Linked DNA regions of Oryctolagus cuniculus. The protein of the gene in region 5 interacts with the protein of the main gene of each other region in a pairwise test. Links are inferred from orthologs where the notes say so. Each region holds a gene or a part of one and is shown on either strand. Other genes may lie near its edges.

Region 1 (3,500 bases), on a different chromosome or scaffold from region 5:
GCATCTCGGGCCCCTGCTGGTGCCGCCTTCTGCCCGGCTCCTCCTAGCCCTGATCCGGAGATCTTGATTTGATATTGTTGTATGTCTAATAAATCATTTTAAAAGTGAAGCTGTTTAAATTGTTAAAGACGATTATCTTTAAACATAAAAAAATTAGATGTTTACCCTTTTTTGGTCCCATGCTGGAATTCTGGTGAGGTGTGCTTGCATTTAACTCGATTATTCTGTCACAGGCCTTGGTGCTGCTTAAGTTTGCATTTCTCTCTTTTTGAACTTCGTTAGTTTCCTTCCTGTCAGTTTTCTTTTTTTTTTTTTTTTTTCTTTTTATTTTTTGACAGGCAGAGTGGACAGTGAGAGAGAGAGACAGAGAGAAAGGTCTTCCTTTTGCCGTTGGTTCACCCTCCAATGGCCGCCGCGGCCAGTGCACTGCGCTGATCCGAAGGCAGGAGCCAGGTACTTCTCCTGGTCTCCCATGTGGGTGAAGGGCCCAAGCACTTGGGCCATCCTCCACTGCACTCCCTGGCCACAGCAGAGAGCTGGCCTGGAAGAGGGGCAACCGGGACAGAATCCGGCGCCCCAACCGGGACTAGAACCTGGTGTGCCGGTGCCGCAAGGCGGAGTATTAGCCTAGTGAGCTGCGGCGCCGGCTCCTGTCAGTTTTCTAGACAGCAAGTGTCTGGTGCAAAAGTCTGTATCATGCACATGGTGAGGCCGCCTCAGCAACACTGTCCCCTGCAGTCCTGACATTTGGCTCTAGTGAGGGGCTCTGGGGCCACCTTCCTCCCCCAACCCTGTGTGGGCAACACAGATGCAGCTTACTGTAGCGTGGACACCCCAGACCTGGTGACGTGGAGTCTATGTTAGGCTCACTGTGGCTTTCCCTGTACCCCATGTCTGCTGAGATACCTTTTCCCACGACTTGGGGTGTGTGCTGGCTGCCGGCTGTGCCGAGTGCACAGGCTCCTGAGCGGCCCTTGTATGGCCCTCGTATAGTGCTCGAAGAGGGCTGGGGAAGGGCTCAGCACACCTGGTAGTGGGTGCTGGCTGGGTGCTGCTGGCTGGGTGCTGACCTGAAGTGCGGACGAGGGAGCACACCCTGGGAGCAGCTTCGTTGTCTCTCTGAAGGCCTCATGATCAGAACTTTAGACTGGCCCAGGGTCCACCCTGCATGGAATGTTTGACCCTACACCTCTCTGGGATGTGAAGGACATGGTGTGCGTATGGGCGGTTGCCAGCTGCTGCTGCTCTCTGACGTGATTTTCCTGCCACAGGCTTTGCTGCAGATGGTGTGTGACGAGAGCCACCAGATCCTGGCCTTGTCGGAGAGCCGCGACCCCCCCAGTGCTCTAAGCAGGGGCGAGCCACACAGCCCCCTGCACCACTTGTCAAGTGAGGGGCGGGGCCTGCTGGAAGTGGCCCCTGACACAGGGGAGAAGGTACGGACTTGGTTCCTTCTGCACCTTACTGGCCCTGTAACACTGAATTGAAGCGCTAGCAGAGATGACTGCGTCCGTAGAGGGGCCTTGTGCAGAGATGGAGAGAGCCCTAAAGAAGCTGCAGGCCTCCCTGTGGCCCACGCTGGCTCTGTGGGCAGGTTCCCCGCAGGATGTGCTATGGAGGTACTGGGGTCTGCACAAGCTGGCCAGGGACTCTTGGGGCTCTCCTTACAGGCTGAGGAGGGTGAGGCCACTGGGTGATCACATGGCTGAGAACCTCACTGCCTCAGCCTGTCCTCACAGGATGATGCCTGCCAGCCTCCATGGGGACCCCTACGGCGCCTCCTCCTGCTCCTCCTGTGACCCATAGCCTGCTTCCTCCTCCCTCCATACCCCATGCCAGACAGGCTGCTAACCCCTGAACTTGGCTCGACCCCTGAGCTTTGCAGTGTCTTTGCCTGTCTCCACCTGGTACCCGGGGCTGCAGGCCAGGTGCGTGCTGACCTCTAGGCCCATCCTTCACATCTGCCACTGCTTGTTGGAATGGAAGTGCCACAAAGCGGAGAACTGTGTCCTTGTGCCTAGGACTTGCTGGCATGTGGCTGGTGCCCACTGAATCTAGTGGAAGAGTGGCTGCCCTCCCTGCTGCCATCCATGCCCCCCGGCTCTGGTGGGATGTGAGCTGCAGCTGGCTCCCCAGAGGCTCATAGCGCTGCCCACAGCTCTCCAGCTGGGCAGCCGTGTACAGCCTAGGGCCTTGCAGATCCCACAGTAGGGGGAGAAGGAAGGAATTTGCCAGCATTCCTCTCCTTCTTTCACTGCTTCCTTGTTCTCTTTTCTGTTTACGGTGCCAACTTCTGCTTCTTGTCTTTCGATAGTCCTGGTGCATAGGAATCTTCTCTGCTGTCCTGCTCAGTGGCTACAACAGTGTCTTTCCTGCAGACACTGATCTCATAGTTACAGGGACCAGAAATCCTAGCGCAGGGTGCAGCAGGGTCAGATTGTGGAAGGGACGCAGTCCCTGGCCTTGTCACTGCAGGGGGAGAGAGAGGGTTCTGATAGTTCTTGTTAGAAGGACACAAAGCCCATCACAGTGGTCCCACCCTCATGACCTCATTTAACCCTAATTGTCTCCAAAACTGTCACATTGAGGGGAAACAGTCCTGACACCAGCCTTTTGGGGACAGACCTGTTCACTCCGCACAGCACCTGCAGAATGTGTTGGCAGAAATTCTGAGCTTGCTTCGATATTACAGGAATCTCCTGACCCATGCTTCGACTGGCGAGGAACGTTCCTGCAGGCCGTCCGGGAGGCACTGGCAGTCGAGCTGCAGCCCAGACTTTGTGGTACAGACCCAGGGGATCCTAGTTCTCTGCTTCAGAGGCTGGAGAAGGTCATCCGAGAGCAGGTGAGGGGTGGCTCCGTTTCAACGGGACTTGTGGTGTCTGAGGAAGTCACAGTCGGTGCCTGTGTCACTGTGCACGTGACTCAAGCTCCCTGACCGGACAGCGTGTGCGTTGATTCTTCCCATAGCTGCCGCAGAGTGGTTCTGAGCAGCCGCTGCTAGTTGTTCTGAGAGTCCCGGGCCCAGCTCAGAGGGGACGGTGCTGTGGGGACAGTGGCAGTCCTGTTTCCTCCCCTGCACTCAGGGACACAGGCTGGGAGCCAAGGCCTGGGGCTGTGTACTCTGCCTTCCACTTTGAGTTAGCAGGCTCTTAACAGGGGCTGGCCATTTGGGTTGCAAAGGCTGGACTGCAGGGAGGCTCGGGTGAGGTGCTCACCTTCCTAGGTCTGGAGTCCCTAGAGGCCCTACTTTTTTTTTTTTTTTTTTTTTTTTGACAAGCAGAGTTAGACAGTGAGAGAGAGAGAGACAGAGAAAGGTCTTCCTTTCCGCTGGTCCACCCCCCCCAAATGGCTGCCACAGCCGGTGTGCTGTGCCGATCCAATGCCAGGAGCCAGGTGCTTCCTCCTGGTCTCCCATGCGGGTGCAGGGCCCAAGCACCTGGGCCATCCTCCATTGCCCTTCCAGGCCACAGCAGAGAGCTGGACTGGAAGAGGAGCAA
Region 2 (3,500 bases), on a different chromosome or scaffold from region 5:
GGCGCACAGCCCCGCCCGTGGGAGGAGCCGGCGAGGCAGGCCTTACCAGTTCTTGCATGCTAGGCACTGAACCCAGCTTATTTTAACCTTGCAGGCGATTAAAGCGAAAATGGATGAACTTAGGCCTTTGATCCCTGTGTTGGAAGAGTACAAGGCCGATGCCAAATTGGTATTGCAGTTTAAGGAGGAGGTCCAGAATCTGACGTCAGTGCTAAACGAACTGCAAGAGGAGATTGGCGCCTTTGACTACGATGAGCTGCAGAACAGAGTGTCCAGTCTTGAAGACAGGCTGCGTGCATGCATGCAAAAACTAGGTAGGCCCGGCGCCCGGGGCGCGGCGCTGCCCGCCTGCGGCACGCGTGCAGGCGTAGGGAGCGCGGCCAGGGGCGGCGCCTGCCCGGCCTCGGCGAGCCGCCCGCAGGGCTCCTGGTAGGGCCTCCTGTAGGGTTAGCGCAGCAGGAGCCCAGGCAGGGCCTCCAGCCGCAGACCCCACGGAGGAGCGCGTCTGGCAGAAGCAGGGCGAGCGGAGCCGCTGCCTGGGGCTGGGCGCGCGCGTGCGTGCGTGCGTGGGCGCATGTGTGCGTGGGTGCGTGCGTGCGTGGGTGCGTGGGCGCGTGCGTGTGTGCGTGAGGGACACGAGTTCCAGGGGGCTGGCGACACGCCTCGGGTTCCTGCAGACACTGGGAGACGGGCGCCACCCCGTCCCAGCAGAAGATCCGCCCCTCCTCGCCAGTGAGGGAGCCCCTCTTCCAGCCCCAGGGGTGCTCATGCGCCCCTGGCACATTTCCCTGGGTCCTCAGCGGTAGCCCCGCCCAAGCAGGGTGCCCCACCGGGACCCTTGCTTGAGATTGATTGCCAGTTAATTGCGATAAGCGGTCTCAGTGAGTTGCGCCGGAGCCCGGCTCGTTCTGGGGCTCCCCCCTCCCCGCCCCGAGCCCACCTCCTCTCTAGCCATGTTTCCCATGGAGGCTGCGCATTCCATGCGGTCCCTGGCCTAGGGCAGCTTGGGGTCCAGCCGAGGGTCAGCTCCGTCTGAGGCTCTGACTTGGTTCCCTTCCCTCTCCTCCCGACCCCGCCCGGGCCCTGCACCTGCTGCAGGGGCGTGGCCAGCAGGCACCATGGGGCTTCCTCGCGCTGTTAGGCAGGAACTGGCCGGGAGAGGACAGTAGCATCAGCCAGCCGTGGTTAAACAGGGCGGGGGGCGGCGGTCTCCATTCTGGTGCCTCTGAGCCCCTGGCCGCAAGGAGAAGAGAGTGGGGCCCACGCTCTCGCCGTGTCACACAGGGTGGCCGACTGTGTTCTTTCCCTCTGCTCCCTGGTTTCCTTGCTGCCCGGGACTGGGTGACTTGGACCATGCGGGCTGGGCGGGGCCGGGGGGGGGGGCTGTGGACGTGCAAGGGTTTGGTGGGGGCCTGAGGCCAGTGACGAGAGACACGCTGGCTGTGTGACCTTCTGCTGGGTGCCACCCTTGGGTCCCCCTGCCCCAGGACCAGAGTTTGGCTCGGTTTTGCTCCTCAGGCCCCTGGCAGCCCCTGGCAGGGTGGGTTTTCTTGTTTCTCCGTCCCCCATATCCACTGACTCCCCCCGGCCCCATCCGCGCCCCGCCGCACCCGTGTGCACCCTGGGACACCGGGAGGAACACGGGAAGCCTCTGTGTTGTCCCGGCAAGGGAGCAGGGTGGAAGCTGACGCACGGTGAGAAGGAGGCTTTGGGCCAGGCTTCCCGGCCGTGCCGTTTCGAGCGCCAGGTGAGTTTAGCCCAGGTTCTGGAATCTCCTCTTGCTCGCCTCGGGCGGCCGAAAACGCTGGTTTGGGAGTGGAGCCGAGGCTGAGTGGGCGCCCCCCACCGTGCGCTCTGCGGTTTCTGCCTCTGCCTCGAATGGGTCAGGAGGGCTGTGAGACACGGATGGGCCCTGGAGCAGGGCGGCCCTCGTGGGTGCCCCCGTCCCCCTGTCCGGGGAGGCAGCCTGTAGGGCAGGGGGTGCTGCCCCCGGCTATGCGGCTCCCCCAAGGCCTTGTCAGCCGCACCTCGTCTGGGCCCTGTGGTTGCTGGGAGAGTCCAGTTCCTGCTGCGGGGCACGCAGGGGGGTGGCCCTGGTGGACACGGAGAAGGGACTGGTAGGATGACACCTGGGTACATGACAGAGGCGGATGACAGGTGCCTGATCGTAGATGATTGATGGGTGGGTGGGTCTGTGGATGATAGAGGTGGATGTTGCTAGGTGCTAGGCGGGTGACGGGCGATGGACAGATTGGCAGAGATGACGTGATCGGTGGGTGGATGGATAGGTGATAGAGGTGGGTGATTGGTGAGCTGATGGGTAGAGAGTGGCAGACAGTTGATACAGGTGACAGTTGATTGAAAGGTATCTCAGTAGATTGAGCTCCTCCTCCCTCTTCCCCCGCCTCCATTCCGCTCAGTGAGTGGCTTCAAGGTCGGGTTTCCGGGTCATGGCCTCTCGGTTTGGTCTCTGTGCCAGCCTTGCACACGCGCAGGGGCTGGGGTCACCCCAGCAGCCAGTTTCCTTGTTGGCGGCTGGGGGAGGGGCTGGCCTCTGTGCAGCGTGGGCTCTTGGGCAGGCGGGGCCCCTCCCACGCTTGCACCCCTGGGTCCCTGCTGTGTCCGGTGGCGGGCTGATCTCCCTGGGGTTACGGTGGGGGACAGGGCTCCCAGCAGCGCCTGCCCTGGAAGCACCCAGGCCAGGCCCCCTCCCAAGACCCCCTCCCTGTGGGACTCAGCTGGAGGCGGATCTGGGGCTCACTGTCAGGAAGGTGTCTGTGTCCAGCCTTCCAGAGCCAGTCTTGCCCGGGGCATTATGGAGGCACTGCCGCCCGGCAGGGTCCCCAGCCCCGAGCCAGCGCCTGGGGCGTCTCTCTGGACACCTCAGAGGCAGATGCTCCTTCAGGTAAACTGAGGAAGGCGGAAACCTCAGCACAGCCGGGAACGCTGGACCTGAGCCGCGCTGCTCTCTGCAGACGCACTGGGCGTCCCCGGGGCTTCTCCTGGTTACAGCCTCCCCGGCAGCCTGGCTGGGGCTGAAGCCCCCAGACGGCGGGGGCACGGTGGCACCCAGCGGGGGTCTCATTCCTCTGAGAAGACAGAGCCATGGGGGGCTGGGCTGCTGCCGAGTCGCCCTGGTCAGCTTCGCCCTCCCATGGGCGGCTGTGTCCGTGCCTCCTCGTCCAGTGCCGTGAGGCGTTGGGAAGGTGAGCTGGGCCCAGCGCTGGGAGACCCCGCAGGCTCGGGGCGCTGGCCTGGGCGGGGTCCTGGCGGGGCCCCGCCCTCCTCTCAGCTCCCTCCCTCCAGGGAGGGCTGGGGTGTCAAGTGCTGCCCAAGGAGGTGAAAGGTGGAAGAGCCCCCACCCCCACCCCAGGACCTGGTCTGAGACCCGGGCAGGGGGCGGCTTGGTCCTCCGCCCATTTCATCTGCACCAGGGACGTGTGTGCATCCAAGCCCCCGGCTATGCCGACTTCTTCCCACATGGGTCTGAGGGAGAGCGG
Region 3 (3,500 bases), on a different chromosome or scaffold from region 5:
AGGAGGAGGGAGGGAGGAAGGGTGGGAAATATCGTTACGGATTTAAAATTGTATATATGAAATACAGATAAATAGAACAGTGATAGCAAATAAAAAGTCAAAAGTATTTTTCTTCAATTGGGAAAGCCTTCTAGATAAGTCACCATAAAAGTGTTAATGCCAGAAATATAGTTTGTTTTTATATGAAGTTATTTATAAGGTAATAATATGTGTGCAGTTTTAAAATACTTTAGTGCCAAAAGATAAGAAATTGTATTTTAAGTTTTAATCTTTCATATGTTATTTTTCCATTTTTCATTGGATTTGGAGCTCTGAGAATTTCCAGGAGCAGTGATTCTTGGAAGAGTTAGCAAATATTCTCATCTGCTCTGGCGGCAGATGGACACATGGGTTTATAGTACATTTGGCTGAGGGCATATTAGTCTGTGGTCATGAAGTTTACACATGTATGGGCACATATTTATATTCCCCCTTTGTCGTCTGGAAAGGAATTAAAGCAGTTTACAAGAACATTTAAACTATGATGGAATAGGAGCATGGAAATTAGCAAAGTGTAACTTAAATGAAGCCAGGAAGACATTTAAATGTCCAATTTTAATACCTTCAAGGATTTCATGCTGAGGTAATTGGCTTTTGGGGGCACTGAGCCTTCAATATTGACCTTAAAAATCAGATATATTCTGGCTGGCGCCGCAGCTCACTAGGCAAATCCTCCGCCTTGCGGCGCCAGCACACTGGGTTCTAGTCCTGCTCGGGGCGCTGGATTTTGTCCCGGTTGCCCCTCTTCCAGGCCAGCTCTCTGCTGTGGCCAGGGAGTGCAGTGGAGGATGGCCCAAGTGCTTGGGCCCTGCACCCCATGGGAGACCAGGAGAAGCACCTGGCTCCTGCCATCGGATCAGCGCAGTACGCCGGCTGCAGCGCGCTGGCCGCAGCGTCCACTGGGGGGTGAACTAAAGGAAAGGAAGACCTTTCTCTCTGTCTCTCTCTCTCACTGTCCACTCTGCCTGTCAAAAAAATTAAAAAGTAAAAAATAAAAAAATTAAAAATCAGATATATTATAATTAGAGAGCACATCTACACACACACACACACACACACACACACACAACTAGCCCCTTCCTAATTCAACAGAGAATTAAAATTTTCTCTTTTATTTTTATGGGTCTATAGAGGTTAATTTAAAATATGGTTTATATAAAAATATAGTATATTTAAAATATTTTAAAATCAGTGTTGTATTGTAGAAATTATTTTCTTATTGATCTACCCTTAACATTGTACAGAATTATTATTTAAAGGAGTGTGCTTCACCAGAGTATTGTGAACTGAAAATATTGCTTTGGCAATATGAACCGTAAGCAAAAGGTATACATAGATATGTGTACTTTTCTTACTAGGAGTTCAGGAAGACGTTTACAGTTATGTGTTAATGCTGAAAGTGCTCTTTAGAACTCCTCTTCTCGAAATAGGAAGCGCGTTGGGTATGCATACTGATCTGTAGTAAGGAGAGTCAGAGCGGCGTTTCAGGACTGATGGGGAAGCAGCCCAGATCATCTGAGAGGATTATCTTGTAGGTTTAGTTTCTAGGGATTTCCTTGATCTTTTCTTTATGTTCACAAGCAGTCTTCTGATTCTGATTTGCTGTTGGCATGTGGGGTTCCTCGGTGTAGTGAAGTATCGCTTATGAATTATATACATTCAATACCTAGTTTCTAAATCTAGAGTTGAAACACCAAACTCTGCGAAGAAGAGGTAATGACAGTTGTATGACTTACCACATCCATTGTTGTTTGTTTTAAAGATTTATTTATTTATTTGAAGGTCAGAGTTACAGAGAGGGCAAGGGAGGGAGGGAGGGAGAGATAGAGAGAGAGAGAGATGTTCCATCTGCTGGTTCACTCCAGAAATGGCCACAATGGCAAAGGCTGGCGCAGATCAAAGCCAGGAGCCAGGAACTCCAGCCAGGTCTCCCACGAGGGTGGCAGGGGCCCAAGTGCTTGGGCCATCTTCTGCTGCTTTCTGTGATGCATTAGCAGGGAGCTGGATTAGAAGCTGGGCAGCCAGGATTCGAACTGGCACCCATATGGGATCTGGCACTGCAGGTGGCAGCTTTATCCGCTATGCCACAGTGCCAGCCCTGCATTCGTTGTTACTTTGGCTCACATATTAACTAATGGAAAAATAGCAGACACAAGGGATTGCTGGAACAAAACCTTCCATGTCATTAGTAATTGTAGCAGAACTTGAGCCACCACACTGGAAGAGCCAAAGGGCCCTGTTTCTGCAGAGTGGAGTGTGGGAGGAGAAAGGTAAAGATGTTGCCTGCTCTGGGGAACTGGGTGCAGATCAAATGAAAGGAGTGATCCCCATGGAGGTGCTGCAGGAGTGCTAAAGATTGATGGGCGTCTGAGATGGTACTATTGATTGTTTTTGGCACAGGAAAAGAGTCATTTAGAATATTTGAGAATTACCCAAGAGAAAGAACAGCAAGAATCTTTGGCCCTGGAAGAGTTAGAGTTGCAGAAAAAAGCAATCCTCACAGAGAGTGAAAATAAACTTCGGGACCTGCAGCAGGAAGCGGAGACTTACAGAACTGTAAGTTTCAGTAGTGTTCAGGCCCAGAGCCGTGAAACTCATCTCTTGCCATGTCCTGGTCATAATCCATTCTCTGCTTGTATCACAGTTGAGTTATACTAACGCCCGCTTTTCTGTTTAAGTTTTCCCCAATTTTTCCATTCTCAGTACAGTCTTTTTTTCGTTTTCTTTTTTTTTTTTTTTTTTAAGATTTGTTTATTTGAAAGGCAGAGAGAGAGAGGGAGTGGCAGGGGTGGGGAAAGATCTTCAAAATGCTGGTTCACTCCTCAAATGGCAGTAACAGCCAGGGTGAGGCCAGGCTGAAGCCAGGAACCAGGGCATCTTCCAGTGTCCCACGTGGGTTCAGGGGCCCAAGTACTTGGGCCATCTTCTGTTTCTTTCCCAGGCGCAGTAGCAGGTAGCAGGATTGGAAGTGGAGCAGCCGGGACTTGAACTGGTGTCCATAAGGGGTGCCGGCATCACAAGCAGTGGCTTCATCCCCTAAACCATGATGGTGGTCCCTGAGTATAGTTTAATGAACATATTTGTAAATATGTCTCATTGTGCACATTTTTAAGGCCCTTTGGCCCTTCCTTTAGCAATATTTGACATGTTTTGCCTGTTTGGAAAACCGACTGCTGTTTAGACTTTTTGGACTTCTTACTCTGATGATTTAGGCAGTGAAACAGTTGCACATCTTGCCCATAGCTCTAAAACTGTGCTTTATTTTCCCATTCCCAGCATTTAGAAAAGGTGGCATGGTGGAGTGAAATGGGTACCTAGGAGGTAAAATTAATTGTACCTTAATTTCCTCACCGTCACATGAAGAAATGGACTGGTAAAGCCCTTAGAACCTTTGTAGCTCTGACGTTCTGTGACTTCACCTTAATTTGCTCTTTTTTCCTTCAGAGTCAAGATTCATATTT
Region 4 (3,500 bases), on a different chromosome or scaffold from region 5:
CACATCCTCCAGTGGTATGTTACCAAATGCATTTTGTAGTAGTATTACCCAAAGTGCCTACTAACATTCTTTCAAGGATTACCTCATGTACTTGCTCACACATTATTGAACTTGATTCCCCTAAAAACCTGCTGGAATAAAGTAACAACTGAATTCTCTATTTGCAGATGAAGAAACAACTTCTATATGGTTAAATGACCCATCCACATCGTCTTATTTAGAAATAATGTGTCAAAGTCAGCTCTGAAATCTAAATTTAAACTCAAAATCCAATGTTTTCTACTAAATCATGCATACAAGGAAAACACCTTAAATATATATAGAAAGAAAACAGCTCTGAAAAGTACCAACATTTTATGAACATTTAAGGAGTTCTTAAATGGACATATTACAAATTAATACTCTATAAATGCACTCCGGATTTCACAAGTTTTATAATGTTTGGAGCTTTACAGATTACAGAGAAAACCCAATCCTTGGTTTCAGTACCTTCCACTTACAAAATGTCTTCATATCAATAATTATAGATTATCCTAGACATTATCCTATTATCCCACCTTATTAATGTTCATTACCACTGAGGGTTACTAAGTGCTACATTTTTAAAAAATGTTGTTCCAGTTCATTCTAATTATCCAGTAAAATCCAAACTTCCTTCTCTTCAATAAAGTATTAACATACAGCATATAAGTTTCTGAGATCTAGATGGTTGTCCAAAATCACTATGACTTAGTAGATATGAAGTACATAGCCTCTGTAAACAAAGGTTGAATTATGAAGCACTAACTTTAAATCTTTATATAATCACAGGGACAGATCCCCAAGAAATGTTACACACACTTCATCCCTGTAACTGATTTTAGATACATCACCACTTTTGAGACATTCTAAATGGTTGTCTTCACATATGCAGTATATACCTCTTTTAATTTTTGAATGGTTGGAGTAATCTCTTCTTCAAGTATCTAGAAAATAAAGAAAATCCCTATATTCAGTATGTAAAGTATCATCAAAATATTTTTAAAAATACTGAAGATGCTGTAAAACCAATGAATAAATAAATAAATAAATAATAGCCCTCTTTACAAGCAGAAAACCCAAATGCAAAGTTACACTCTTTTCCAAAAATGTTTTATATGAATTTAATTACCGTCTTAATTTCTTTCAGCTTAGCCTCCTTTTTTTCTATAGTTTTCTGGGCAGCTATTTTTTTGTATTCATACATCCTGGTTCCAGCTGCTTCTTCTATCATGGATAAAATCTGAAATGATCATTGTATTAATGTTTTAAGACTTTTAATATTTCTAATTGGAATTTACATGAAATATATTATAGCCTCTGCCTCCCTAAGCAACCAAAATAACGGCCCTAGTACAAAGTAAAAGTTAAATAGGTAAATATGCATATATTAGGAAGCAAACACTTGGAGCAGAGGTTAAGACAAATCACTTGGGATGCCTTCATCCCATACTGGAATGCCTGGGTTTGAGTTCTGGCACCACTTCCAAATCCTGCTTCCTGCTAAAGTGCACTATAGGAGCCAGAAGATGACAACTCATGTAGTTGGTTTCTTGCCACCCACATGGGAAACCTGGATTGAGTTCTGGACTCATGGTTATGCCTGGCCTACCCCCAGTATGCAGAGCATTTAGGGAGGGAATCGGCAGATGAAGATCTCTTTCTGCCTTTCAAATAAAATGGAACTAAGCAAATATATGCATTTTTAAATGCAGATGATTACCATAGCTCTTATTTCCAAGAAACATTTCTGGCCTTCACTCTTCTAAAATCAAGTTTTTTGGTACACTAAGTTTCTGGGATTCATAAATCCAGAATTTGCCATTTTCTATCCCAGTAAGCCTCTGCTTCCCTCACAGACTCTGGTCTACTCAGTGGTCCACCTCCTTGAGGGAATGATGGAAACAGTCCACAGCCATTGCCCCCATCACTACGGAGTTGGCTTCTGCTGCAAAACTGAAGATGCTCTTGTTTTTTCTACCACTGCAGATAAGGTGGGGAGTGTTGATGTGGACAGTAAAGCCAAGAAACTATTGGGTTTAAGACAGAAGCATCTGGTGATTCCAGGAAGTAACTAACCTTTTAAGAAACAGTGTATAGGGAGGACAGCTAACAAGTGTGGAGAAGTCTTCTTTTTCTATGGAAAATCACTTTTGGAATTATCAGAACAGAGAATGGTATGTTGGGAAAACGCCTTGGAAGTACACATGGAAGAGGAAAAATGAGACAAACAGAAGATGAATCTCTGGTACAAAATGAAAATATACCTGAGGAAGCAAGGGAAGAGTTGAGAAAATGGGTTTCTGATGCCAAGAACACACACAAAAAGGCGGCAAGTCTCCATCAAAGCCCGAGAAGTGAAATGGAGAATGGTAGAATAGAAGATAAGGACTTAAGTGAGCCTACAGAGAAGCTACAAGACAATGTTTCAGATAACTGAAACCTCCAAAGGGGCAAAAGGAACTGCAGCACCAGAAGGGCTGAACAAAGCTGAGGTCACTTTGGGGAAGCCAGAACAGGAAGCACTAGATACTGAGGAAGAAAATTCAGTTTCTGGACCAAGAAGAGTGCAGAGATAAAAAGAGGACAGCAGAAGCAGAGAGGCAATTGTAAGCAGACAGAAGTCAAAAGACGCTGCAGAAGAGCAGCCTGTTGAATTCAGAAAAGCAGGACACTGCAGTGGATGTAGAAGCAAAGGAGCAGGTAACCACCTCTGAAAATGAAACAGAAAAGGCTGTTCTCAATGAACATCTTAGTAGGGCAGGAAGTGCCTCTTCTAGAAAAGCCACCCGTCAGGACAACAAAGGCTACAGAGGCCCAGATGCAGGGTGAGACCAGAAGAATCTTAGGAGCCTGGGCAGGAGACCACAGCTGTCTCTAATGATGGTATGAACTTGCAGCTGCAGAGCTTCTGCTGATCCACAGACTTTTGCAGGATTGAGAGAAACAAAAGGTGGCTCAGAACTAGAGGTCAGGGCAGAACTAGTTCCTAGCCAGCAGGCTAAGCTACACATGAGAATATGAGACTGCTGGTGATGGGGCTGAAACCAAGAAATCACTGAAGACAGTTAACGACAGCTGCTAACAAAGAGACAGCAGACAGAGAATAGATGAAAGGGGGTGAGGAAACTGAAGGTTCAAAAGCAGATAAATAAAATCACAAGACTGAAGAAACACCCAAAGATTCAGCTATTGACAAATCTCTTTAAGAAAATGAAAAGGAGACTGGGAACCTAGAATTTGCTTGGAATATGCAGGATTTAGCAAAGATCATTTTAAAAGGCAAAAAACATAAGCTGAACTTTAGGATACACAGGAACATCCTAAACTTGGAGAAGTTGAAGTGGACCCTGGTGATTACATCCAAGCTGTAGAAGAGTTCTAAGCTTGTCTAAACTTGCACCAGCAGTACCTGGAACCCCATCATTGTCTCCTTGCAGTGACCCCACTGGGGTTGGCTTATGGCTACAACTCTCAGTAAA
Region 5 (3,999 bases):
GGGGACGGGTCACTGCTCGGACGTCAGCACGTGGCGTGGGGAGGGGACGGGTCACTGCTCGGCCCTGGTCAGCACGTGGCGTGTGGGGGGACGGGTCACTGCTCGGCCCTGGTCAGCACGTGGCGGTGGGGGGACGGGTCGCTGCTCGGCCCTGGTCAGCACGTGGCGTGCGGGGGGACGGGTCACTGCTCGGCCCTGGTCAGCACGTGGCGTGCGGGGGGACGGGTCACTGCTCGGCTCTGGACAGCACGTGGCGTGCGGGGGGACGGGTCACTGCTCGGCCCTGGTCAGCACGTGGCGTGCGGGGGGACGGGTCACTGCTCGGACGTCAGCACGTGGTATGCGGGGGGACGGGTCGCTGCTCGGCCGTCAGGAGTCCTTTACTCTGAGACCTGCTCCAGGACACGCACCAGGACAGCCCCACGCTAACGCCAGCCTCCTCGGGAATGAAGCTACAGCCCAATCTGCACCAAGTTGGCTACGGATTAACCCAGTCTCCAGTGCACACCAAGTCCCGAGAGCCACGGCCGCGGTCCTCGGCACAGGCGGGATGCCCGGAGCACCTGCGTGCCCGTTCCTGGCACAGCCTCACCGGGCCCCGCCCTTGGAACCCTGAGCAGGGACTGTGGGCAGCGAGGATTCCTGCAGACGCTGAAACGCGAACGCGAGGACGCGAGCAGGCCCCTTGGACACCGGCTCCCCGCGCTCGGCCGACCCTGTTGTCCCAGCGTGCCCGCCGTCTGCCAGACCAACAAGGCGGCAGAGTGCATCTCAGCACTGGGCTGGGACACGCAGGCCAGCAGGCGACTGGGAGCAGGCAACCCACCCCACTCAGCCCGTCCTGGCCTCCATAACCCGCCCCACACAGCCCGTCCTGGCCTCCATAACCCGCCCCACACAGCCCGTCCTGGCCTCCATAACCCACAAAACACAGCCCGTCCTGGCCCCCGTGACCCACCCCACACAACCCGTCCTGGCCCCCATGACCCACCCCACACAGCCCGTCCTGGCCTCCGTGACCCACCCCACACAGCCCGTCCTGGCCTCCGTGACCCACCCCACACAGCCTGTCCTGGCCTCCATAACCCACAACACACAGCCCGTCCTGGCCCCCGGGACCCACAACACACAGCCCGTCCTGGCCTCCATAACCCGCCCCACACAGCCTCCTGGCCTCCGGAGTCGGGTCCCTCTTCCCGCCGCGGGCAGCGCCCTCTTCCCAACCCGGCGGTCACCAGCCACCTCCCCCCGCAGCTCTGCACTTCAGGGAGCAGCAGGACGAACAGCAGACCAGAGTGGAGGGCTCAGTGCCCCCACCCAGGCCTCCGGGCAGGGAACAGCACCTGCCACCTCCCCAGGGAAGGCGGCGCAGCACCCTGCCTCCATGCCATGGGGCTCCCCCACAGCCGGCCCCTTCCCCAGACACCGTCCAGGCCAGGCCCTGGGGACGCAGGCGGGCTCCCGGCTGGTGACACGCGCTGGCACACTTACAAGCTAAGGTAAAGTCTGTGCAGGTCGGGCGGCCGAGCTGTTGAGTGAGCTGAGGGCCCCCAATGGTCACACCGCCCCAGAGTCCACCTGCTTCCTAGCCCCAGAGCACTCCAGTTCCCAAGGGCCCTCGGTGCGCCATGGAAACAGCACCCCCACCCCGGCCCCACCCCCGCGCTGCCACACACCTGACGGTTGCCAGGAGCCATCCCAGACTCCCTGAGCAGGGAGCCTGCGCCGGGGACTTCTGGGCGCTCAACTCACCGCGGCCGGACCGAGCCCGCACCCACACCCACACCCACACCAGCCTCACTCGAAGGCGGCCGGCGGAGCAGCGCTAACCGCCACCCGCAGGGCTCCGCCCCTGGCGGCTGCAGCGTGGGGATCCTAACACCCTGACTCCGGTCTCCACGGGCCCCGGGGCAGGGCGCGGTCCCAGCCACAGCCCGGCCCGCACCGGGGAGGGCGCGGTCACGGCCCCGGCCCGGCCCCAGCCCGGGCCCGCACCGGGGAAGGCGCAGTCACGGCCCCAGCCCGGCCCCGCACCGGGGAAGGCGCGGTCACAGCCCGGCCCCGCACCGGGGAAGGCGCGGTCACAGCCCCAGCCCCAGCCCCGCACCGGGGAAGGCGCGGTCACGGCTCGCCCCGCACCGGGGAAGGCGCGGTCACGGCCCCAGCCCGGCCCGCACCGGGGAAGGCGCGGTCACAGCCCCAGCCCGGCCCGCACCGGGGAAGGCGCGGTCACAGCCCGGCCCCGCACCGGGGACGGCGCGGTCACGGCTCGCCCCGCACCGGGGAAGGCGCGGTCCCAGCTCGCCCCGCACCGGGGAAGGCGCGGTCACGGCTCGCCCCGCACCGGGGAAGGCGCGGTCACGGCTCGCCCCGCACCGGGGAAGGCGCGGTCCCAGCTCGCCCCGCACCGGGGACGGCGCGGTCCCACTCGCCCCGCACAGGGCGCCCAGGGGCCGCAGTCCCGGCAGGGGCCGCCGCGGCTCGCCCACGCCCCGCCTCCCGGCCCCGACGCAGGCCCGGGTCTCGGCCCCCCCGGCCACCGGGCCCCGGCGGCGCCCACCTCCGTGATGATGTCGTGCAGGTAGCGGAACGGGGGCTTGTTGAGCAGCTTCTCCGTCAGCGGCGGCCTCCGGATCACCTTCCCCAGCGCCTCCTGCGTCCGCCGCACCACCGCGGCGTTCATGGCGCCGCCCGCCGCGCGTCCGGCCGCCCGCGCCCCTCAGGCGGCCCGGCCGAGCCTCAGCCCGGCTCCCTGGCCCCGCCGGCCCCGCCGCCCGGTGCCGCCGCGACGCGCAGCGCGGGTCCCCATCCCACAGTGCACCGGGCCCGCCACGGCGCCTGCGCGGAGGCCGCGGCGCGCCCGGTCGCTAGGGCGGCGCGGCCTTGGCAACGAACGCCCGCGCGCGGGACGCCGGGAAGCGGGGTCTGTCCAGCGGCCGGCGGCGGGGCCGCGTCCGCGGTGACCGTCCGAGGAAGGCGCTCCACACCGGGCCTCTCAGCTCCCGAGCGCTTTCGCCGGCTCTGGCTCGTGGGCGGAGCCAGGACGCGGTTATCCCGAAAGCCGCGCGGCGGGCAGTGCCCTGTCCTGCGCGGTCCTTGGCCGGTTTTCCCTCAGACCTCCACCCTGCCGCCGCCGCCACGCATCCCGCGGGGCAGGTGGGCAGCGAACGGGGCCCCGGGCTCGCCCCGCGGCGGCTGCGGGCTCCGGGGTCTGTGTGGAGCCTCTACCTTGGTCTGCCATTCTGCGTGTGCACCTGCACGTCCCCGGGGCGGGCACGGGGCGGGACTGCCCGGTTCCAGTCCGGCTCCCTGCTGATGTCCACCTTGGGCGGCGGCAGGGGACGGCCCGGTGCCCGGGTCCCTGCTGTCCGCGTGGGAGACCCGGATGGAGCCATTGCGGGCGTATGCGGGTGAGCCAGTGAATGGAGAGACCGAATAATGTATCTTTTAAAGTTTCACCTGGTGTCCGTGTGCCAGAAACGGCAGGTGCGCGTGGGCCGGAGGCCCAGGAGAAGCGGGATCGTGCAAGCTGATGGACACAGCCAGGCTGGCCCCGGGAGCTGATGGAGCCTGGGAAATTGGTTGTAAGTCTCCGCGGTGCCGGGGCAGCAAGTGTCCGTGAGGCTCGTGCGGGTTTCCGCTTCCCCGCGCCCTTTCGATGGAAGCATCCTGGCCTGCTGTTGGTGACGTGGGCAGGCAGACAGGAGAAAATCGGCTAGTTGGCGAGCTGGAAGACCACGTCTTCACACCCCTGTGAGCTCACCCCTTCCTGCCCCCACCTGTGCGCCCACTGCCACTCAGGCTACGTGACCACGCGCCTTTGGAAGTGGCTAAAAGGCCCGGAGCTCGCTGGGCCCTTCCTTTGTTGGCCGTTGCCTTCGGGGCGCGTGCCCGTTCCCGGGGCTGGCTCCTGGCCTGCTCTCTGCTTGCTGTGGACACAACTTAGCCTCTAGACGTCTGCTCTCCGAAATGAAGCCCTCACCCTCCTGCACATTTCTC
Region 6 (2,321 bases), on a different chromosome or scaffold from region 5:
TAAGTGACTGCATCAACCAGAGATCACAACCTGACAGTCCAGTGACTATTACTGGTCTAAAACATATGCGTTAATGCATCCATTATATCTTAAAATACTGAATTTGTTGTCAGCATCAAAGTAGGATTTCACATGCAAATTTATTATTTGTTGACAAATCAGAGGATTGGATAAACCTATGTCTGCATTCCTGTGTGGTAGCAGTCAACTGGCAAGATTTGTTGGTCCCCTTTAAACCTTTCCTTTGCTTGAGTTTGTCATAGCATCCCAGCTGCACTCCCACACAGCTTTTCCCATTTTGGACCCTTGTGGGCATTTGAATGTGGGACCTCTTTTAGAGGTAAGGGGTAAGTGGACAGAGTCTGCCCAGCAGAGAACAGTATCACCCAAAGACTCAGAGCCCACACACTTGACACCTGCATGGACTCAATGGGTCCTGCCCCAAGCTGCAGCCTGCATGTGTCTCATGATTGCCCCTTCTTCATTTTGCAGCTGGCGGGAGGTTGATCTTCAGTCTCTGAAGGGGAGTCCTGATGAAGAGAATGAGGAGGTAATGGCGTGATCCTTTCTCTTTTAGAAGAGGGCGCACACGCATGTGCACATATCCGTCTGGGTGCCTCCAGACCTATGGGTTTCAAATGCAAGCTCCTGCAGTGCTCACTGACAAGCCTGAGGTGGTGGGGGTAATTTTAGAGTCAGTCTACACATACTCAGCTCAGCGTCCTGGGGGAACAAGGGCATCAGCGAAGCTGCTCTGTTGCAGATCGAGGACCTATCCGACGCAGCCTTTGCCGCCCTGCATGCCAAATGCGAGGAGATGGAGAGAGCACGGTGGCTGTGGACTACGAGCGTACCGCCCCAGCGGCGCGGCAGCAGGTGATGGGCCAGGAACAGACACCTGGAGCCTGTGCAGAGGGAGGGTGGACAGGGAGTTTGGGGTCTCTCTGTCTGTAGTCTGCTCTTCTATTCATCTGTGGGCAGTGGCTCAGATAGAAGTTCCTTGTTGTTTGTTGTAGTGGGGTATAAATAGCCAAATGCTAGATCCTTGCTGAATGACCCACTGTCTGATTCTGACAAAGTGTAGTGGTCAGCTGTGGTATTTGGAAGTTGGTTAGGGGTGATGGCGATGGTGGTCTAATCAGAGGACTTAAGGAGGCCTTACCAAAGGTTAATCCTCCTCTGGGCAGTATACTGTGGTTATGTAACTACTTGTCTCCGTTTATTGCCAATAATGGCAGAAGCCCTGAGGTGCTCAAGTAGAATGTTTTGGAACTCTGTTTTTGCCTTCTGTGACGACGACTACTAGTTTCCAAGGTCCGGACCAGTTTCTCTTCTCCCATGGAATCACTGGATGCCATGGCAGGGCTCCTCCCCAGCATTGTTTGGCCATGCTTTCTCTTGGGATTAAGACATACACAGTTTGTTTGTTTTTTGTGGGTTTTTTGTTGTGTTTTTTGTTTTTGTTTTTTTACAGATAGAGTTAGACAGTGAGAGAGAGACAGAGAGAAAGGTCTTCTTTCCATTGGTTTACCCCCCTCAACTGGCTGCTATGGCCGGGGCTACGCTGATCTGAAGCCAGGAGCCAGGTGCTTCCTCCCGGTCTCCCATGCAGGTGCAGGGCCCAAGCACTTGGGCCATCCTCCACTGCCCTCCCGGGCCACAGCAGAGAGCTGGCCTGAAAGAGGGGCAACCGGGACAGAACCAGCGTCCATATGGGATGCCAGTGCCGCAGGTGGAGGATTAGCCATGTGGGCTGCAGCGCCGGCCCCAGACATACACGGTTCTTTGACGTCATACTGTGTACCTGTCCCTCTATGCAGCAGTGGAATAGGTGGTTGGCTGCTAGAAAAAAATACTATGGTGTCTTCTTCGGCTTCTCTCATGCCTCTCCCCACTCCCCAGAAATAAACAGACAAGAAGTCCCCTGTTACCCAGTACTCAGATCTGCATTCCTTGGTGCCCAGGTCTTACAGGTCATCAGACGGCCGGACCACCCCTCAGTTGGGCAGTGCCAACCCCTCTACCCCCCAGCCTGCCTCTCCCGACGTCAGCAGTAGCCACTCTTTGTCGGAGTTTTCCCACGGCCAGTCCCCTAGGAGCCCCATTAGTCCAGAACTGCACTCAGCACCTCTCACCCCTGTGGCTCGGGACACACTGCGACACTTAACCAGCGAAGACACCCGATGTTCCACGCCGGAGCTGGGACTGGACGAGCAGGTGAGGGACACTGCCTCCGCATGGGGTTGGTGAGCTGGGGGTGGAACTGGGGAGGCTCAGCACCTGCTAAGGATGGATCCATCTCATGACCCTCCCCATTTTGA
Region 7 (3,500 bases), on a different chromosome or scaffold from region 5:
TCAGGAAACTTGGGCAAGAAATATGAAAAAAATATATGTAAATGATATTAAATAATTTTGAAAAATCAGTTCCATAATTTGCAAATATAGAATTTGGGCCAGAAACATGGTAATATGTATAATGATCCTGAATGATTTGGAAAAGTCACTTCCCATAATTTACAAATATAGAAGTACCAATACTATTTCAAAGTCATTAAAAGAAAAAAACATAAGTCATAATCATTATTAAATATGAAGTCAACGAAATTTACATTTTGGTAAATTTTGCATCTTGCTTGTATTTCTTCAGTGAGGATGTAAATATACATCAGTACCAAAGGCAAGCAAAATGCACCCTGCTCTATAACCTCAGAAACTTGCAAACGACCCATGCTGCTCTGGCCTCTGAGGCTACGTACCAATGGTGCACTTGGTGGAACGCCTGCTGACCATGTTGCGGGAGTTACTTTTGGCTGCCAGTTAGCTCCCCCAGTCAACTTTTTCTCTCCAGCATTCCACTGAAGATCTCCCCTAAAGTATGCAAAACAAACAAGTGAACAAAAAACACAAATCAAAAAAAAAATTTTTATTTGATTTAGAAGTAGCTTGTTTTCACTCATAAAAAATTCCAAATAAGAGTATCATAATGTACACCTGTTTCTTGTTGAATTTAAGATGCATTGAAGATGGCACTTGTTGGACTGTAAAGGTTCAACAGCAGGCTACAACAACTATTTCATGACAACAATCTGCTGTAAGACACCATCTATGGTAAGTTCCATCCCAATTTCAGTGACAAAATACATCTAAAAAAGGGCAGGTATTTTATCAGTCTTACTATCCTTCTTTAAAACTTATACTCTATGAGAGACTTTAGAATAAATGTTAGCTAGGAATATTACAACGAATTGAGATTTTAAAGCTATTAAAATATGAAAATCAAAATTCCTAAGTATTTCCAGATATAACTTAATGATTTTTTTTTTTTTTTTGACAGGCAGAGTGGACAGTGAGAGAGAGAGAGACAGAGAGAAAGGTCTTCCTTTGCCGTTGGTTCACCCTCCAATGGCCGCCGCGGCCGGCACACCGCGCTGATCCGATGGCAGGAGCCAGGAGCCAGGTGCTTTTCCTGGTCTCCCATGGGGTGCAGGGCCCAAGCACCTGGGCCATCCTCCACTGCACTCCCTGGCCACAGCAGAGGGCTGGCCTGGAAGAGGGGCAACTGGGACAGAATCCGGCGCCCTGACCGGGACTAGAACCCGGTGTGCCGGCACCGCTAGGTGGAGGATTAGCCTAGTGAGCCGCGGCGCCGGCCTAATGATAATCTTAAATACTGAAATAAACTATTACTTTTCAAAGGTTCTAGCAGAAAGATGATAATAATTAAATCCAAAATGAAATAAAAAAAAAAACCCTTTTAAGTCATCTACTTTAAGAATCAATAATATATTCCAAGGATACAAAATCTGATAATCTCAAATTATCAAAAGAAAATGAAATAATTTCAAAACTTACTTTTTTGATGTCGTACCAGAAATTCCAAGATCTAAAAATGGATCAAGGAAAAAAAAATCAGTTTATATAAGATTTGACATTTAAAAGTTCCAAATGTCAGTGGTCTTGAAAAAGTAAACATTTGACCTAGGAATGACTGCATTCAGTTATACAAAAAAGAATCTATATTAGGAAACATATCCATACTCTTTGAGACTTCCTTTTGCTTCATGTTAGACATAGGGTCACAGACAAGAGTCAACAGCAGATTTGAGACTGCTAAGAAAGACCTGTGAGGCTGGTGTCTGGGCTGGTTTCTAGATCTCCATGTCCTCACCAACAGTAGCCATTGTCTGTCTTTTCTATTACAGCTGCCTATTGGGTATAAAGTGGTAACTTTTTTTTTTTTTTTTGCTTCTGATTTACATTACACTGATGACTAGTGTTGACTATATCTTCATGTACAAACTGGCCATATGCATATATTCTTTGGAGAAATGTCTACTCAAATTTTTTGTTCATTTTGTAATCACATTATTTGTCTTTTCATTATTCAGTTGTAAAAGTTGTTTACTGCAGGTAAAGTGTCTTATCAGATGAATGATTTGCAAATATTTTCTCCCAGTCTGGGTTGTCCCTTCACATTCTCGATGGCATCTGTAGCACCAAAGTTTTGCATTTTTATGTAGCCTGTTTACCTACTTTTGTTGCTTGTGCTTTATTAACATTTTGTTCTTTTACTTTGAGAGGTAGAGTGACAGAGAGAGATTGAGAAGAAGAGGACATACAGAACTCCCATCTACTGGTTCACACCCCAAATATCTGCACCAACCAGGGCTGGGTCAGGCTGGGAACCAGGAATTCAATCCAGGTCTCCCATATGTGTAGCAGAAACTCAATTACTTGAGCCATCACTGCTGCCCCTCATGGTTTGAATTAGCAGGAAACTGGAATCAGGAGGAGGATCTGGGTATTGAAACCAGGTGTAGGCATTCTAACCAGCACTTTAACTGCCAGGTCAAATACCTTTTTTTTGCTTGTGCTTTTGATGTCTTATATAAGAAACCAAACATTACCAAGTCTAAGGTCAAGAAGATTTGCTTCTGTGTTTTCTTCTCTGAGTTTTATACTTTCGACTTTTATATTTAGTTCTTTTTTAAAAAGATATATTTATTTCTTTGAAAGAGTTACAGAGGTCAAGACAGAGAAAGAGAGATCTTCCATCTGCTTGTTCACTCCCTAGCCAGGCCAAAACCAGGAGCCTGGAACTCCATTCATGTTTCCCACATTGGCGGCAGATGCCCAAGCACTTGGGCCATCTTCTGCTGCTTTCCCAGGTGCATTAGCAGGGTGCTGGATGGGAAGGAGAGCAGCTGGGACTCAAACTTGTGTTCATATGGGATGTTGGTGTCACAGGCAGCAGTTTAATACGCTGCACCACAATGCTGGCCCCTCAAGCATTTAGTTTTTTTAATCCATTTTGAATTATTTTGGGGGGTTGTATGTAAAAGGTTCAACTTTGTTATTTTGCATGTGGACATGTAATTTTCCCAGCGCTATTTGTTGAAAAGACAACTATTTTCCCCTTCAATTGTTCTGAGTGACCACAGATGTATAGGTTTATTTCTAGGCTCTTCACATCCCATTGATCTCTATGTCCATCCCTATGCAGCATCACTTGTTTCATCACTGTAGCTTTCTAGTAAGCTTTGGAAAGTATGAAGTATGGGGCCATCAGAGTTATTCTCTATTCAGGGTGTTTCGAGCATTTCGATTTTCTGATACTTCCATATGAATTTTAGGTACAACTTGTTAATTTTTGCAAAAGTACGCTGGAATACTGAAAAGGAGCATGTAGGCAATTTTATTCAGTTTTAGAATATTGCATTTTAATTACAAAATTAACATACAGTGAAATTCAGTGGGTTCTTTGGAGAATGGGTAAGTTTCTATGAATTTTGACAAACAGATTCATATAATCTTCACTATAATCAAAATGATATCAGTTTCATAACCTAAAATAT

Evidence for each region.
Region 1: the proteins of TRAF3IP1 (region 5) and PCNT interact in a two-hybrid assay, tested with the Homo sapiens proteins (2 studies listed by BioGRID and IntAct). The link is inferred for Oryctolagus cuniculus from reciprocal best matches to the Homo sapiens genes TRAF3IP1 and PCNT.
Region 2: the proteins of TRAF3IP1 (region 5) and OLFM1 interact in a two-hybrid assay, tested with the Homo sapiens proteins (2 studies listed by BioGRID and IntAct). The link is inferred for Oryctolagus cuniculus from reciprocal best matches to the Homo sapiens genes TRAF3IP1 and OLFM1.
Region 3: the proteins of TRAF3IP1 (region 5) and GOLGA4 interact in a two-hybrid assay, tested with the Homo sapiens proteins (2 studies listed by BioGRID and IntAct). The link is inferred for Oryctolagus cuniculus from reciprocal best matches to the Homo sapiens genes TRAF3IP1 and GOLGA4.
Region 4: the proteins of TRAF3IP1 (region 5) and SMC2 interact in a two-hybrid assay, tested with the Homo sapiens proteins (2 studies listed by BioGRID and IntAct). The link is inferred for Oryctolagus cuniculus from reciprocal best matches to the Homo sapiens genes TRAF3IP1 and SMC2.
Region 6: the proteins of TRAF3IP1 (region 5) and KANSL1 interact in a two-hybrid assay, tested with the Homo sapiens proteins (2 studies listed by IntAct). The link is inferred for Oryctolagus cuniculus from reciprocal best matches to the Homo sapiens genes TRAF3IP1 and KANSL1.
Region 7: the proteins of TRAF3IP1 (region 5) and SNAP91 interact in a two-hybrid assay, tested with the Homo sapiens proteins (2 studies listed by BioGRID and IntAct). The link is inferred for Oryctolagus cuniculus from reciprocal best matches to the Homo sapiens genes TRAF3IP1 and SNAP91.

The regions. Positions count from the first base shown.
Region 1 is NC_091435.1:434,690-438,189, reverse strand, and holds part of PCNT (pericentrin), read left to right. Parts: intron 1-1,271; coding exon 1,272-1,436; intron 1,437-2,692; coding exon 2,693-2,845; intron 2,846-3,500. UniProt on the Homo sapiens protein: Integral component of the filamentous matrix of the centrosome involved in the initial establishment of organized microtubule arrays in both mitosis and meiosis. Plays a role, together with DISC1, in the microtubule network formation.
Region 2 is NC_091432.1:236,275,124-236,278,623, forward strand, and holds part of OLFM1 (noelin), read left to right. Parts: intron 1-94; coding exon 95-314; intron 315-3,500. UniProt on the Homo sapiens protein: Contributes to the regulation of axonal growth in the embryonic and adult central nervous system by inhibiting interactions between RTN4R and LINGO1. Inhibits RTN4R-mediated axon growth cone collapse.
Region 3 is NC_091435.1:173,679,261-173,682,760, forward strand, and holds part of GOLGA4 (golgin subfamily A member 4), read left to right. Parts: intron 1-2,439; coding exon 2,440-2,595; intron 2,596-3,500. UniProt on the Homo sapiens protein: Involved in vesicular trafficking at the Golgi apparatus level. May play a role in delivery of transport vesicles containing GPI-linked proteins from the trans-Golgi network through its interaction with MACF1. Involved in endosome-to-Golgi trafficking.
Region 4 is NC_091432.1:207,901,379-207,904,878, reverse strand, and holds part of SMC2 (structural maintenance of chromosomes protein 2), read right to left. Parts: exon of another isoform or gene 2,944-3,500; intron 2,905-2,943; exon of another isoform or gene 1,807-2,904; intron 1,262-1,806; coding exon 1,151-1,261; intron 966-1,150; coding exon 921-965; intron 1-920. UniProt on the Homo sapiens protein: Central component of the condensin complex, a complex required for conversion of interphase chromatin into mitotic-like condense chromosomes.
Region 5 is NC_091434.1:2,099,007-2,103,005, forward strand, and holds the start of TRAF3IP1 (TRAF3-interacting protein 1), read right to left. Parts: upstream 2,801-3,999; 5' UTR 2,684-2,800; coding exon 2,561-2,683; intron 1-2,560.
Region 6 is NC_091448.1:17,221,315-17,223,635, forward strand, and holds part of KANSL1 (KAT8 regulatory NSL complex subunit 1), read left to right. Parts: intron 1-492; coding exon 493-550; intron 551-763; coding exon 764-876; intron 877-1,964; coding exon 1,965-2,217; intron 2,218-2,321. UniProt on the Homo sapiens protein: Non-catalytic component of the NSL histone acetyltransferase complex, a multiprotein complex that mediates histone H4 acetylation at 'Lys-5'- and 'Lys-8' (H4K5ac and H4K8ac) at transcription start sites and promotes transcription initiation.
Region 7 is NC_091436.1:88,831,198-88,834,697, reverse strand, and holds part of SNAP91 (clathrin coat assembly protein AP180), read right to left. Parts: intron 1,529-3,500; coding exon 1,498-1,528; intron 514-1,497; coding exon 402-513; intron 1-401. UniProt on the Homo sapiens protein: Adaptins are components of the adapter complexes which link clathrin to receptors in coated vesicles. Clathrin-associated protein complexes are believed to interact with the cytoplasmic tails of membrane proteins, leading to their selection and concentration.